Canis lupus familiaris: one gene and its partners. The protein of the gene in region 1 interacts with the protein of each later gene in a biochemical or structural test. Links are inferred from orthologs where the notes say so. Each region holds a gene or a part of one and is shown in the gene's direction. Other genes may lie near its edges.

Evidence for each region.
Region 2: the proteins of DAXX (region 1) and PML form a complex in vitro, tested with the Homo sapiens proteins (2 studies listed by BioGRID, with this or other methods). The link is inferred for Canis lupus familiaris from reciprocal best matches to the Homo sapiens genes DAXX and PML.
Region 3: the proteins of DAXX (region 1) and RASSF1 form a complex in vitro, tested with the Homo sapiens proteins (4 studies listed by BioGRID and IntAct, with this or other methods). The link is inferred for Canis lupus familiaris from reciprocal best matches to the Homo sapiens genes DAXX and RASSF1.

Annotation. Positions count from the first base shown.
Region 1 is NC_049233.1:2,912,720-2,916,463, reverse strand, and holds the start of DAXX (death domain-associated protein 6), read left to right. Parts: upstream 1-931; 5' UTR 932-1,070; intron 1,071-1,214; exon of another isoform or gene 1,215-1,360; intron 1,361-1,366; exon of another isoform or gene 1,367-1,446; intron 1,447-2,238; 5' UTR 2,239-2,290; coding exon 2,291-2,497; intron 2,498-2,651; coding exon 2,652-3,480; intron 3,481-3,605; coding exon 3,606-3,744. UniProt on the Homo sapiens protein: Transcription corepressor known to repress transcriptional potential of several sumoylated transcription factors. Down-regulates basal and activated transcription.
Region 2 is NC_049251.1:37,672,398-37,676,141, forward strand, and holds the start of PML (protein PML), read left to right. Parts: upstream 1-1,064; 5' UTR 1,065-1,184; coding exon 1,185-1,319; intron 1,320-3,565; coding exon 3,566-3,744.
Region 3 is NC_049241.1:39,421,297-39,425,040, forward strand, and holds the start of RASSF1 (ras association domain-containing protein 1), read left to right. Parts: upstream 1-966; 5' UTR 967-981; coding exon 982-1,231; intron 1,232-3,090; coding exon 3,091-3,197; intron 3,198-3,578; exon of another isoform or gene 3,579-3,737; coding exon of another isoform or gene 3,738-3,744. Other genes in the region: ZMYND10 (zinc finger MYND domain-containing protein 10), read left to right, coding at 65-190, 279-354. UniProt on the Homo sapiens protein: Potential tumor suppressor. Required for death receptor-dependent apoptosis. Mediates activation of STK3/MST2 and STK4/MST1 during Fas-induced apoptosis by preventing their dephosphorylation.

The DNA of each region.
Region 1 (3,744 bases):
GAAGACTGTAGGCTTACATATGGTGTGGGATTCTTTAATGGCAGTGAGGGTTTGAGGTTCTGGTACTCTGTGGTCCTAGAAAGTGGCAAGATACTCACCACTTGTGGAATGTGACGCAGGGGAGGAGAATCTCCGTGTTAACCGGTGTGACTTCCCCATAAGCTCGTATTTGGACCCAACGTGGCCTCCACGAGTCCTTCCGGCCTCTTTAAAGTTGGGTGAGGTGCGGGTGTGGGCGAGGGGGCGTCAGTCAGTTTCTTGTCTCCCCGTTCTTTTCTCAGCTCTCCCAGAGGAAGAGGAAGAGACCAGTGGAGACTCAAGGTATTTTACAAGTCTCATTTCATCCAACAGCGGCAATTTGCACAGATTCTCCTCAAAGCCCCCGCCCCACATCGCGGTCCTATGGCCCTGGAGCTCCTGGACAAGGCACGGCCTCCAGGTCATCACTGCATGCACCTCGGGCACCCCACCAGAAAGGAACGGAGAACCACCTAGGTCTCACCTGCTGGGTGGGTCATTAGTTCCTTGGAGGCGCTTAAAACGAAGTCAATAACAATAGTAATAATAATAATAACAAATTTGTGTAGCGAATTGTGCTCGTTTGTATGCATGTGTTATGATTTCACTATTGGGAGGTGTGGGCACGGGGAAGTAGAAGTAGCTGCTGGACAGCGGCTGGGGAGCGCGCAGCCTGCAGAAAGGAAAGGGCAGGCGCAGTAGATGAAGCCGCGGAAAGGGTACCTGGCAGGTAGGAAAGCGGCGCCGGAAGGCTGGTCAATGGCCCAGCGGAAGGAAGAGGGTTTTTTTCCCTCTTAGGAGATTCTCGCTCTCCTATGCACCCCTGCACAGTCTTGGAGGGCCCAATTCCTTAGCTGTCCTGTTCCGTCCTCCCCTCCCCTACTTGGAAAGGTGGCTCAGTCCTTCCAGCACGCGACCCGCCGGCGGTTGGGCTGGATGCAGGAAGTTTCTGATTGGTGGAGTCGCAGAAGCACCGGGCGAAAAGAGCTCCGTCGGTGGCGCCCCCGAGTTCGGGCGTAGCCAGTACCGTACGGCAAGATGGCGGCCCCCAGGTACTTTGGGACGTCCTGCGGGGACAAGCCCGCCCTCTACTGGTCATAGGAAAGAGAGCGGCATACTCTGTGGGCGGCACTGGGCGGGGGGGCGGGCCTACCGCCACTTCCTGCCTCAGGGGGGCCGGGCGCCGTACGAAAATATGGCCGCGTCTAGGTGTCCGTAGGCGGAAACTCCGCGACTTCCGGTCCAGAGAAGGGCCTGCGGTGGGTGGGGGAAGGAAGGCGGAGGGAACCCTGCGAGGTTCTGAGATCAGCAGCGAGGGTCGCCTCGAGAGACCGTTTCTGAGGTGGGGGCCGGACCGTGCGGGGAGCGAAGGCAGGGGCGGGAATGTCGAGGGAGAGGTACTGGGGAGTCCCAGGCGCTGAGTCTGAGGTGCAAGCTGTGGTACCTTCCTTCCAATCCCTGAAGGGGAATGGGGCGGCCGGGGGCTGAACTGGGGGAGGGGGACTTGGCGGGAAGCTCATTCGGGGGAAGGGGTCGGATGCGGGGTTGGGATCTGAGAGGAATCCGGAGAGCTCAGTACTGGGCTCACAATCGGTTACAGGTCACAGAGAGAGAATGGGGGAATTCGGGTGGGGTGAGAGGGAGGGGACTTGAGGTGAGATCTCTCCAACCTAACGTCCCGGTTTGAGGAGACCCGTCAGAGGGTGGAATGTGAGAATAATCCCAGGAGGGGAAACGGGAGTGGATTGTTGGGAGAGAACCTCCTTCGCCTCTGAGAGTCTAGGAGTTGGGGGTGATCCTTCAGGATGGGATGAGGGTGTGGATTTGACGTGTTTGAGAGCGAAAGGGGGAAGGCTGGTGAGGTGGTGCTGACGGGGATGTGGTATCTGTGCGAGGGAATGTCGAGGAAATCCAGAGTGCACACGTGCAGGAGGTGGTCGAGAGATTGGAAAAGTCAACTTGGCAAGTATGAGAGATAGTGGGGAAACTGGATCTCGACAGAAGGGGTAGAGCTGGGGGTGGGGACTTAAGGTTTTCAGGTGGTTTCAGGTAGTGAAAGGTCAGAAAAGTGTCTGGTACTAGTGGTTGCTGAAGTTAGGCAGTGAGGACACTGTTGAGCAGGGCTGGGTGTTACTGAAACCCAAGAAGATTGGAAAATGTGTGAGATGAAGGGAGGGGCTATGCTGGAGGGGCTCTTTCTGAGGCCCCATCCCCTTCCAGCAGGAATTCCGAAATCCCCAACACTTCCTTCCTCCGGGGGATTTGATCCCCCATGGCCACCGCTAACAGCATCATCGTGCTGGATGATGATGACGAAGATGAAGCAGCTGCTCAGCCAGGGCCCTCCCACCCACCCCCCAATCCGGCCTCACCCCAGGCAGAAGCCCCTGGCTCCTCCCAGCCCCATGGGGCTGGAGGAAGCAGTAGTTCTGGCGGCAAGAAATGCTACAAGTTGGAGAATGAGAAGCTGTTTGAAGAGGTGAGCTTTAGGGGAGAAGATTCTTGTGCCCCAGGGAGGGGGATGGCTGACTGGCTCTGTAGTCCTTTCTTCCCCACTAATCCCGCCTTGCCTTCTTTCTCTCAACCCCTCCCCTTGTCTCTTCCCCCCTCCCTTCTTCTCCTGAAACCTCCAGTTCCTTGAACTCTGTAAGATGCAGACAGCAGACCACCCTGAGGTGGTCCCATTCCTCTATAACCGGCAGCAGCGTGCCCACTCTCTGTTTTTGGCTTCGGCGGAGTTCTGCAACATCCTCTCTCGGGTCCTATCCCGGGCCCAGAGCCGGCCAGCTAAGCTCTATGTCTACATTAATGAGCTCTGCACTGTTCTCAAGGCCCATTCAGCCAAGAAGAAGCTGAACCTGGCCCCTGCTGCCACCTCTAGTGAACCCTCTGGGAATAACCCTCCCACAGACCCCTCCTCGGACCCCACAAATGCCGAGACCACTGCCTCTGAGGCACCAAGGACCCGTGGTTCCCGGCGGCAGATCCAGCGCTTGGAGCAGCTGCTAGCGCTCTATGTGGCAGAGATCCGGCGGCTGCAGGAAAAAGAGTTGGATCTCTCAGAATTGGACGACCCAGACTCCACATACCTGCAGGAGGCAAGGTTGAAGCGTAAGCTGATCCGCCTCTTTGGGCGGCTTTGTGAGCTCAAAGACTGCTCTTCCCTGACGGGCCGTGTCATAGAGCAGCGCATTCCCTATCGTGGCACCCGCTACCCAGAGGTTAACAGGCGCATTGAGCGGCTCATCAACAAACCAGGGCCAGATACCTTCCCTGACTATGGAGATGTACTGCGGGCTGTGGAGAAGGCAGCTGCTCGGCACAGCCTTGGTCTTCCCCGACAGCAGCTCCAGCTCATGGCTCAGGATGCCTTCCGAGACGTGGGCATCAGGTTACAGGAGCGACGTCACCTTGATCTCATCTACAACTTTGGCTGTCACCTCACAGATGACTACAGGCCAGGTAGGGATTAGTGAGATGCCTACTGGTAACCCTTGTATGTCAGATGTTTGGTGGAGGGAGCATCTCTCTAGTCCCTTCTTCTAGGGTTTGGGCTGAGTACTCTGACTTTATATCTTCTCATGTAGGCATTGACCCTGCACTGTCAGATCCTGCCCTAGCCCGGCGCCTGCGAGAAAACCGGAGCTTGGCTATGAGCCGGCTGGATGAGGTCATCTCCAAATATGCAATGATGCAAGACAAGAGTGAGGAGGGTGAGAGGCAGAA
Region 2 (3,744 bases), on another chromosome or scaffold:
GGTGGTTTGGTGTTTGAAGCCAGGGCCCTTCATCCAGTGAAGCTGCCCGAGGTTGTGCTTCCTACCCTCACCAGCTGGGAGCTGGCATGCTTCCCCTTTAGCCAAGAACTAACTTGCTCTCTCCTCGCTGTCTTCATACCTGCTCGTCGGCTCTCCCCTTCCACTCCCTGCCTGCGCTGCCTCAGACTCACCAACCTTTCCAACTCTCAACCAAGGCATCATCCTGTTCCCCTCAGCTCCACTCACTGTCCTCCTGGTGTCTCAGACTCAGATCCCTCCTCTGCATCCCACAGCCATTGTCCTAGACCAGGTCACCCATCCCAGGTTGCCAGAGTGACTGTCCCAACATGCGTGTTGGGTCATGTTTCTGGGTTCTAATCTCACGCTGTTGCCCACAGAACAAGTGCATCTCCTTAGCCCTGATCCTGCTCATGGGTCCCCTCTTAAATTTGAAAATAATGAAAACCGGTTTCTTTTTAAGATTTTATTTATTTATTCATGAGACATCACACACACACAGAGAGAGGGGCAGAGACACAACACAGGCAGAGGGAGAAGCAGGTTCCATGCAGGGAGCCCGATGTGGGACTCGATCTGGGGTCTCCAGGATCACACCCCGGGCTGAAGGCAGGCGCTAAACCGCTGAGCCACCCGGGCATCCCTGGAAACTGGTTTCTAAACAGACTCTCCTGTTTCAAACCTCCATGCCTTTGCTCGTGCTGTTGCAAGCGTTCCCCATCCCCAAGTTCCTGCACGTCCCAGCTGAGATCTCCTTTCCGGCCTGCCCCTCTGCAGCGTGCAAACCTGTTTGGGTGACTGCTCTCGCTTAGACCTGGGTTCTTCCAAAGCAGGCCCACCTGTGGCTCCTGTCTGTGCCCGGGGTCAAGCCAAGGGCGGCCCGGCCTCCCTCCCGCTAGGCCAGGCCGCGGCCGGGTTACCCCCAGGTCGGCTGAGCATCTTCTCTCCTCCCCTCCTCCCTCCGGCTCGGGGCGTGTCTCCAGACCCCCCCTCCCCGGCCCTAGAACCGCCCCCCGGCTCTGTCTCACTTCCTCCGGGGAGGCGGGCCCTGAGTGGGGCCGTCCCTCCCACGGGCTCCGGCGACCGCGATCCGGTCCCTGCCTCTCGGTTTCGCTTCTCCTCCCCCCTCAGGCTCAAAACCCAGAAGCGAAACTGTGCTGGGATCCATGCAGCAGGAGCCCGCGCCCCCCCGCTCTCCGGCGCCCGGGCAGGACCCCGCACCGTCCGGGGCGCCCAGCATGCCTCCCCCGGAGCCCGCCTCCGAGGGCCACCAGCCCAGCCCCAGCCGCAGCCCCGCGGAGGTACCACTGGGCTTGGGGAGGTGGGGTGGAGGCTTGGTTGATGGCTTCGGGAAAGGGAGGGGACAGCGAGGCCAGGCACCTCCCCAGAGTGACCCAGAGAGAAAGCCAGACACTGGGCCCCGACCCTCGGGGCAGCTGAGAGTGGGAAAGGGTACCAGGGTGAGCTGGGGGGGCCTCGGGGCTGGCATGCCCCACGGACAGGGGGCAAGGTGCTGAGGGCCTGGACTCATCTGCCCACCCTGGCGACTTGCCCCCCTGAGCCTCAGATGAAGGTCCAGGGATTCGGGGGATGGCGGGGTAGCCCTGGGGAGCAGGCCGAGAGCCAGGGGCATGTCCCAAGTGTGGAAAACCAAAAGCCGAGTTCCCAGATCAGGAAGTGGGAACCTGGCCCAGACGAGAGAAGTGTCTTGGCTAAGGCCTCACAGCTCTTGGGGTGGCTTCTCCGCTAGGATACCTACCTCCAAGATCCTTCTGTTGGAACACCCTGTGTGCCCTCCACCCCCGCACCCCCACCCTGGGTCCACAAAGGGTGTACTGGGGCCTCTTCCGGAAGCTTGCCTGGGTCTGCTCCGGGTTTCCTGGGGCCTCTTCCCGGAAGCTTGCCTGGGTCTGCTCGGGACAAGCTCCCCAGCTGCCCTCCTGCCCCAGAGGAGCTACTTCACATCTCATGCAGTGTGTTTTCCCAGGCCCTTCATGAAAGCACCATCCTGCAGTAACTTCTATTCTGTGCATTATTACAACTAGGAATCGTACTACTTCCTTGTGAACATTCCTCGTGGGCCAGTACTTTATTAAGCACTTTTTCCCCCTTTTTTTTTCTAGAAAATATCCATAATATTAAAATTACCATGTTTTTAACATTTTTATTTCTTCTAAGTAATCTCTACGCCCAGCATGGGGCTTGAACTTAACAACCGCAGGATCCAGAGCCTCGTGCTGCGCTCACTGAGCCAGCCAGGTGCCCCAAAAACTTAACGGTTTTTAAGTGTACATTTCAGTGGCATTGAATATATTCACAATGTTGGGTAACCGTCAACCACCATCTATTTCCAGAATTTTTTTCATCACCCTCCACAGAAACTGTACTCCCTAAGCAGTAGCTCCTTATTTACCCGCTTCTCCCAGCTCCTGGTAACCTCCACTCTACTTTTCTGCTGCTGTGGATCTGCCGATGCTAGATATTTCATATAAGTGAGCCATCCAATTATTTGTCCCTTCGTGTTTGTCTTATTTTGCTTAGCCTAATGTTTTCAAGGTTCTCATAGCATGTATGAGAATTTACTTCCTTTTCATTTTATTTTATGTTATTTTTGGTAAAGATCTTATTTTTAAGTAACCTCTACACCCAGTGTGGGGCTTGAACTCACAAACCCAAGATCAAGAGTCACATTCTCCACCAACTGAGCCAGCCAGGCGCCCCTTCCTTCATTTTCTTTTTTAAAGATTTTATTTTATTTATATATTTTTTTAAAGATTTTTTTAAAGATTTTATTTATTTGAGAGAGGCAGAGACGCAGGCAGAGGGAGAAGCAGGCTCCTTGCAGGGAGCCCGATATGGGACTCGATCCAGGGACCCCAGGATCACGCCCTGGGCCAAAGGCAGATGCTCAACTGCTGAGCCACCCAGACGTCCCTCTTCCTTCATTTTTAAAAACTGAATGATACTCCATTGCACGCGTAGACCGGTTTTGTTTATCTGTTCATTTGTTGATGGACACTTGGGTTATTTCTACCTTTTGGAGCCTGTGCATGATGGTGCTGTGGACATGGGTGTAAAGTATCTGTTCAGCTACTTGTCTTCAGTTATTTTGGGAAATCTATCTAGGAATGAAATTGCTGGGTTATATAGTACTCCTGTGTTTAACTTCTTCAGGAGCCACCAAACCATATATATTTTTAAGATTTTATTTATTTATTCATGAGAGACACACACAGAGAGAGAGGCAGAGACATAGGCAGAGGGAGAAGCAGGCTCCATGCAGGGAGCCCAATGCGGGACTCGATCCCAGGACCCCAGGATCACGCCCTGAGCCCCCAGGTGCCCCTCCACCAAACCATATTAAGCACTGTTTATGATTTACATGAGATACGCTTCACGTATCTCCTTTCTAGAGCGAGTCCCTTGAAGGTAGGGATTTATGCTCCCATCCTTGGGTGTCCGGGCCTCGTAGTGCCGTGCTCCCTGCAGAGGATCTGGGGGGGGGCTCCGGGATTTCAGGCCTCACCCCACCTCTCTGGTCCCCCAGCAAGCCCTGGAGGAGGAGTTCCAGTTTCTGTGCTGCCAGAGCTGCCAGGCCGAAGCCAAGTGCCCCAAGCTGCTGCCGTGTCTGCACACGCTCTGCTCGGGATGCCTGGAGGCATCGGGCCTGCGCTGCTCCATCTGCCAGGTGCCCGGGCCTCTAGGCGCTGGCTCGCCGGCCCTGGA
Region 3 (3,744 bases), on another chromosome or scaffold:
GGCAGAGGTGCTCTTGTGCCCCCACTGGCCAGGCACAGCCAGCCTTTCCTGACCTCTTTCTTAGATGGGCTGAGACCTACAGCCTGGACGTCCTAGAGGCAGTAACCCCAGAGCGGCCCCGCTGTGCCTACTGCAGTGCAGATGCCTCCAAACGGTGCTCACGGTGCCAGAATGAATGGTATTGCTGCAGGTGAGGGTATCCTAGGAACTTGGACCCCTAAGCCCCACTTCTATACCCCGCACAAGCACTGCATGCTTACCAGCCCACCTGCCTGCAGGGAGTGCCAAGTCAAGCATTGGAAGAAGCATGGAAAGGCTTGTGTCCTGGCAGCCCAAGGTAACAGAGCCAAGTGAAAGCTGCAGCTGCTGAGGGCCAAGCACCCATGCCCTACAACCCACCCCCAGTGTGCCCTTGAACCTCTCGAAACCTCAGCCAGGGCTCCAGCCTCCCAGGTGGTGAGCAGAGCGAGCGCCGCGAGGTAGTGAGCACAGCGAGCCCAGCAAGCTGCTGACCCATCTTCCCCAGTAAAGGCTGCTCGCTTCCTGCCCTACCCTGCGGGTAGGCTGAGGGTGCTGCCTCAGCAGCTGGAGCGGGAGGCCTGGGCGAGGCAAGACAAGGGCCGGATGTGGGGACCCTGTGCCTCTAGCACAGTAAAGCTAGTCTCTAGAAACAGCCTGTCTCCGAGTGGCCCTTCTTGGTGGTCGTCGTCTTGGGACGGGGGGCGGGGGTGGGGTGCACCCGGATGCAGGAAGAAAAGGAAAGGGAGCGCCGGGACTCTGCGAGATCGCCCCCCGCCCCTACTCCGCCTGCGGGCCGACACAGCCCGGGCACCCGGGTTTGCACTGCGCCGCTCGCCCTGGTTCTCTCGCCGCCCAGCCTAGATCCCGGGGGCGGCGCCGCCTCGCGGCCCGCCCCGCGGCCCCGCCCGCCCCGCGCTCGCTCGCGCCCAAAGCCGGCGGGAGTCCGGGCCCGACCCGGCCATGTCCACCGAACCCGAGCTCATTGAACTGAGGGAACTGGAGCCCGCGCGGCGCGGAGGTCCGGGCCGCAGCCGGCTGGAGCGAGCGAACGCGCTGCGCATCGCACCGGGGACCGCGCGCAATCCGGCACGGCAGCTGGTCGCGGGCCGCGGCCACCACTTCCAACCTGCGGGGCCCGCCACGCACACGTGGTGCGACCTCTGCGGCGACTTCATCTGGGGCGTCGTGCGCAAGGGCCTGCAGTGCGCGCGTGAGTAGCAGCCCCGCGCGCTGGGAGAGCGAAATGCGCGGCCAAGGGGCAGTGCCGTCGCTGCGTGTCAAGTCGCAAAGGAGGGGGTCGGTCGGCAGGGTCGGTTCCTAACTGGCAGTGGGCCAGGTCCACTGCCTTTGCTCCATCGTGTAAGAAAGTGCAGGCAGACAGATGGTTTATAGCCTTGTTCTATACCACCTGCATTGGGCGCACATTTATGCAGAGGCGGATGCCTGTGAATAACTATGAACAAGGTGCTGATTTCAAGCTTTTTATCTTTTAAGTGCCTTGGCTCTTCTTGAGAAGTCTGTATTTCGACCAATCTCTAAGTCCATGTTCCCAAGCCTGCTCTTTCCCAAAGATTCACTCACTGCCCCACCCCCCCAGAATCTCTGGGAGGAGGGGGAATTTACCCACCTATGGAGGCAAGCAGGGAAAAAGTACCTTGGGTGGGTCTTCTACAAGCAAGAATTTAATTGAGCAAATACCTATTGCAGGCCCAGCCAACCAGGTGCTAAAACACAAAACATCACACACCAGCAGTCTTTCTGCCAGCAAGCAGAGGCTGCTGTCCCCCTGGCTATACACCAGCTAGAATTGGTTGGGATTTTACAGCCCTCCAAACCCCTATGCCTGGACTTCAGACCTGTTGAATCCATCACTAGGAATGTATCAGCAATTTACAAAAAAAAAAAAAAAAAAAATCATTTCAGTAGGCAGCCTGGAATTGAGAGCAATTGAGAATCACTCCTCTGGCCCATTTAGGGATTTAGAGAAGGTATCCTAGGCCTATGTAGGTGTAGAGACCCTCTCATCCAGTACAAGAGTCTGTCCTGAACACCAGAGCTGTGACAGAAAACCAAGCATGAGCAAGGGCTGAGACATTGCAGTGATCCCATGGAGAAATAAAGTGACATAGGGATGAAATACAGGACAATGTGTCAGAAGCAAAGAGAAGAGAGGGATCAAGGGTGATTTGGGATTTTTGCCTCAAACAGGGACAGTAGTGATTTTTGCTAAGATGAGAAGCTCTGGGGAGAGGAGAGGGGAGGTGAAAGAAAAGTTGGTTTTGGTCACATTGGGTTGACACAGGCTTTGATCTGAGGAGGGAGGTTAGGGATGGAAGACTTGGATCTGGGGTTGTACACAGAGCAGGGCAATGGCAGTGATCAGGATTGAGTCTCAAACACTCTTGCCCATTAGATCTGGGAGTTGAGGCAGAACCAAAGAAGCTGAGCAGGAGCTGCAGGGCATGGGAGGAAAACCGGGGCAATGGGGGGCCCTGGAAGCCAAGGGGAGCAAGCATCAAACGATGCTGGGGGGCATGGTGAGGATGCAGAAGGGATCTGGCATTGGAACGTGCACAGGTTGCTAAGGACCCTAACCATTATCCTGGAGGGAGGATCAAGCCTGACTGGAATGGGTAAAGGAGAGAGTGAAGATGAGGAATTACACTGTGTATGCAGATAAATGATATGTTTTGGTGTGAGGGATGTAGACAGATGACAGCTAAAGGGGTTAAAGGGTTAAAGATTTGGGGGGTTTGCCCTTCAAGTAAATGCTGGGGGCGGGGGGGGGGGGGCGCTTGACAGTGCGGAAGGGGGATCTCCGTGCTAGAGATCCAGCTATTCAACCGGCCTGGATCCCTAACCGCCTGAGGCCTTCCCGCCAGTTTCCAGACGTCGGGAGACCAACACTAGAATCTGCATAGCAGCGGCAGGGTACCCGGGCCGTAAGACAAGGCGGGTCATGCAAAGCCTGGCGGGCAACCGCCTTCGTCCCGGGGTTTCTCTGCCGTCCCCGGGATGCTTCTCTGAACTGGAGCCGGGGCTCCGCCTCACGGCCAGGCCTCTCTGCAGATTGCAAGTTCACATGCCACTACCGTTGCCGCGCGCTTGTCTGCCTGGACTGCTGCGGGCCCCGGGACCTGGGCTGGGAACCTGCGCTGGAGCGGGACACGAACGTGGTGAGCGCGGGGCAAGGGGTGGCGTACGGAAAAGGTGCGCAGACCAGCCGGCCACACGGCAGGAGTTGCTTAGGGCCGCCCGGTTACGCGCAATGCGCGTTCGAACAGCGGGTTTTCCCGCGGCCGAGAGCGGCTGGAAGGGGTACCAGGGATGCTGACTCCGCGCGGATTGCCCGGAATAGCCGAGGCTCCACGCCCGCGCAATTTCCGCACCTTCCCGCATCCGCATCCGGTCGTGCAGCCACGCTGGTGTACATGCGCAGACGCGCCGACTTGTTCCCCAAAAGAGGTGTGGTCTGCGAGGCGGAGCCGAGCTGGGCTGCCTGGGCTATGAGGTCACTCCTGGAGGCGGGGCGTGTGTGAACCCGCCCCTCGAAGTCCCCCCCCCAATGAGAAGGGAGCCAGATCGTGGCTGTCTACGTCTCGGCGTTAACGGTTGCGGCGCGAACCCTGATCCCAGCGCACGCGCACACGCGTCTCGGGCGGTGGTTGGAGGCCACGGGCGCACGGGGCTCGAGGAGCTGGCGGGCGGGCGCGGCGATGGGCG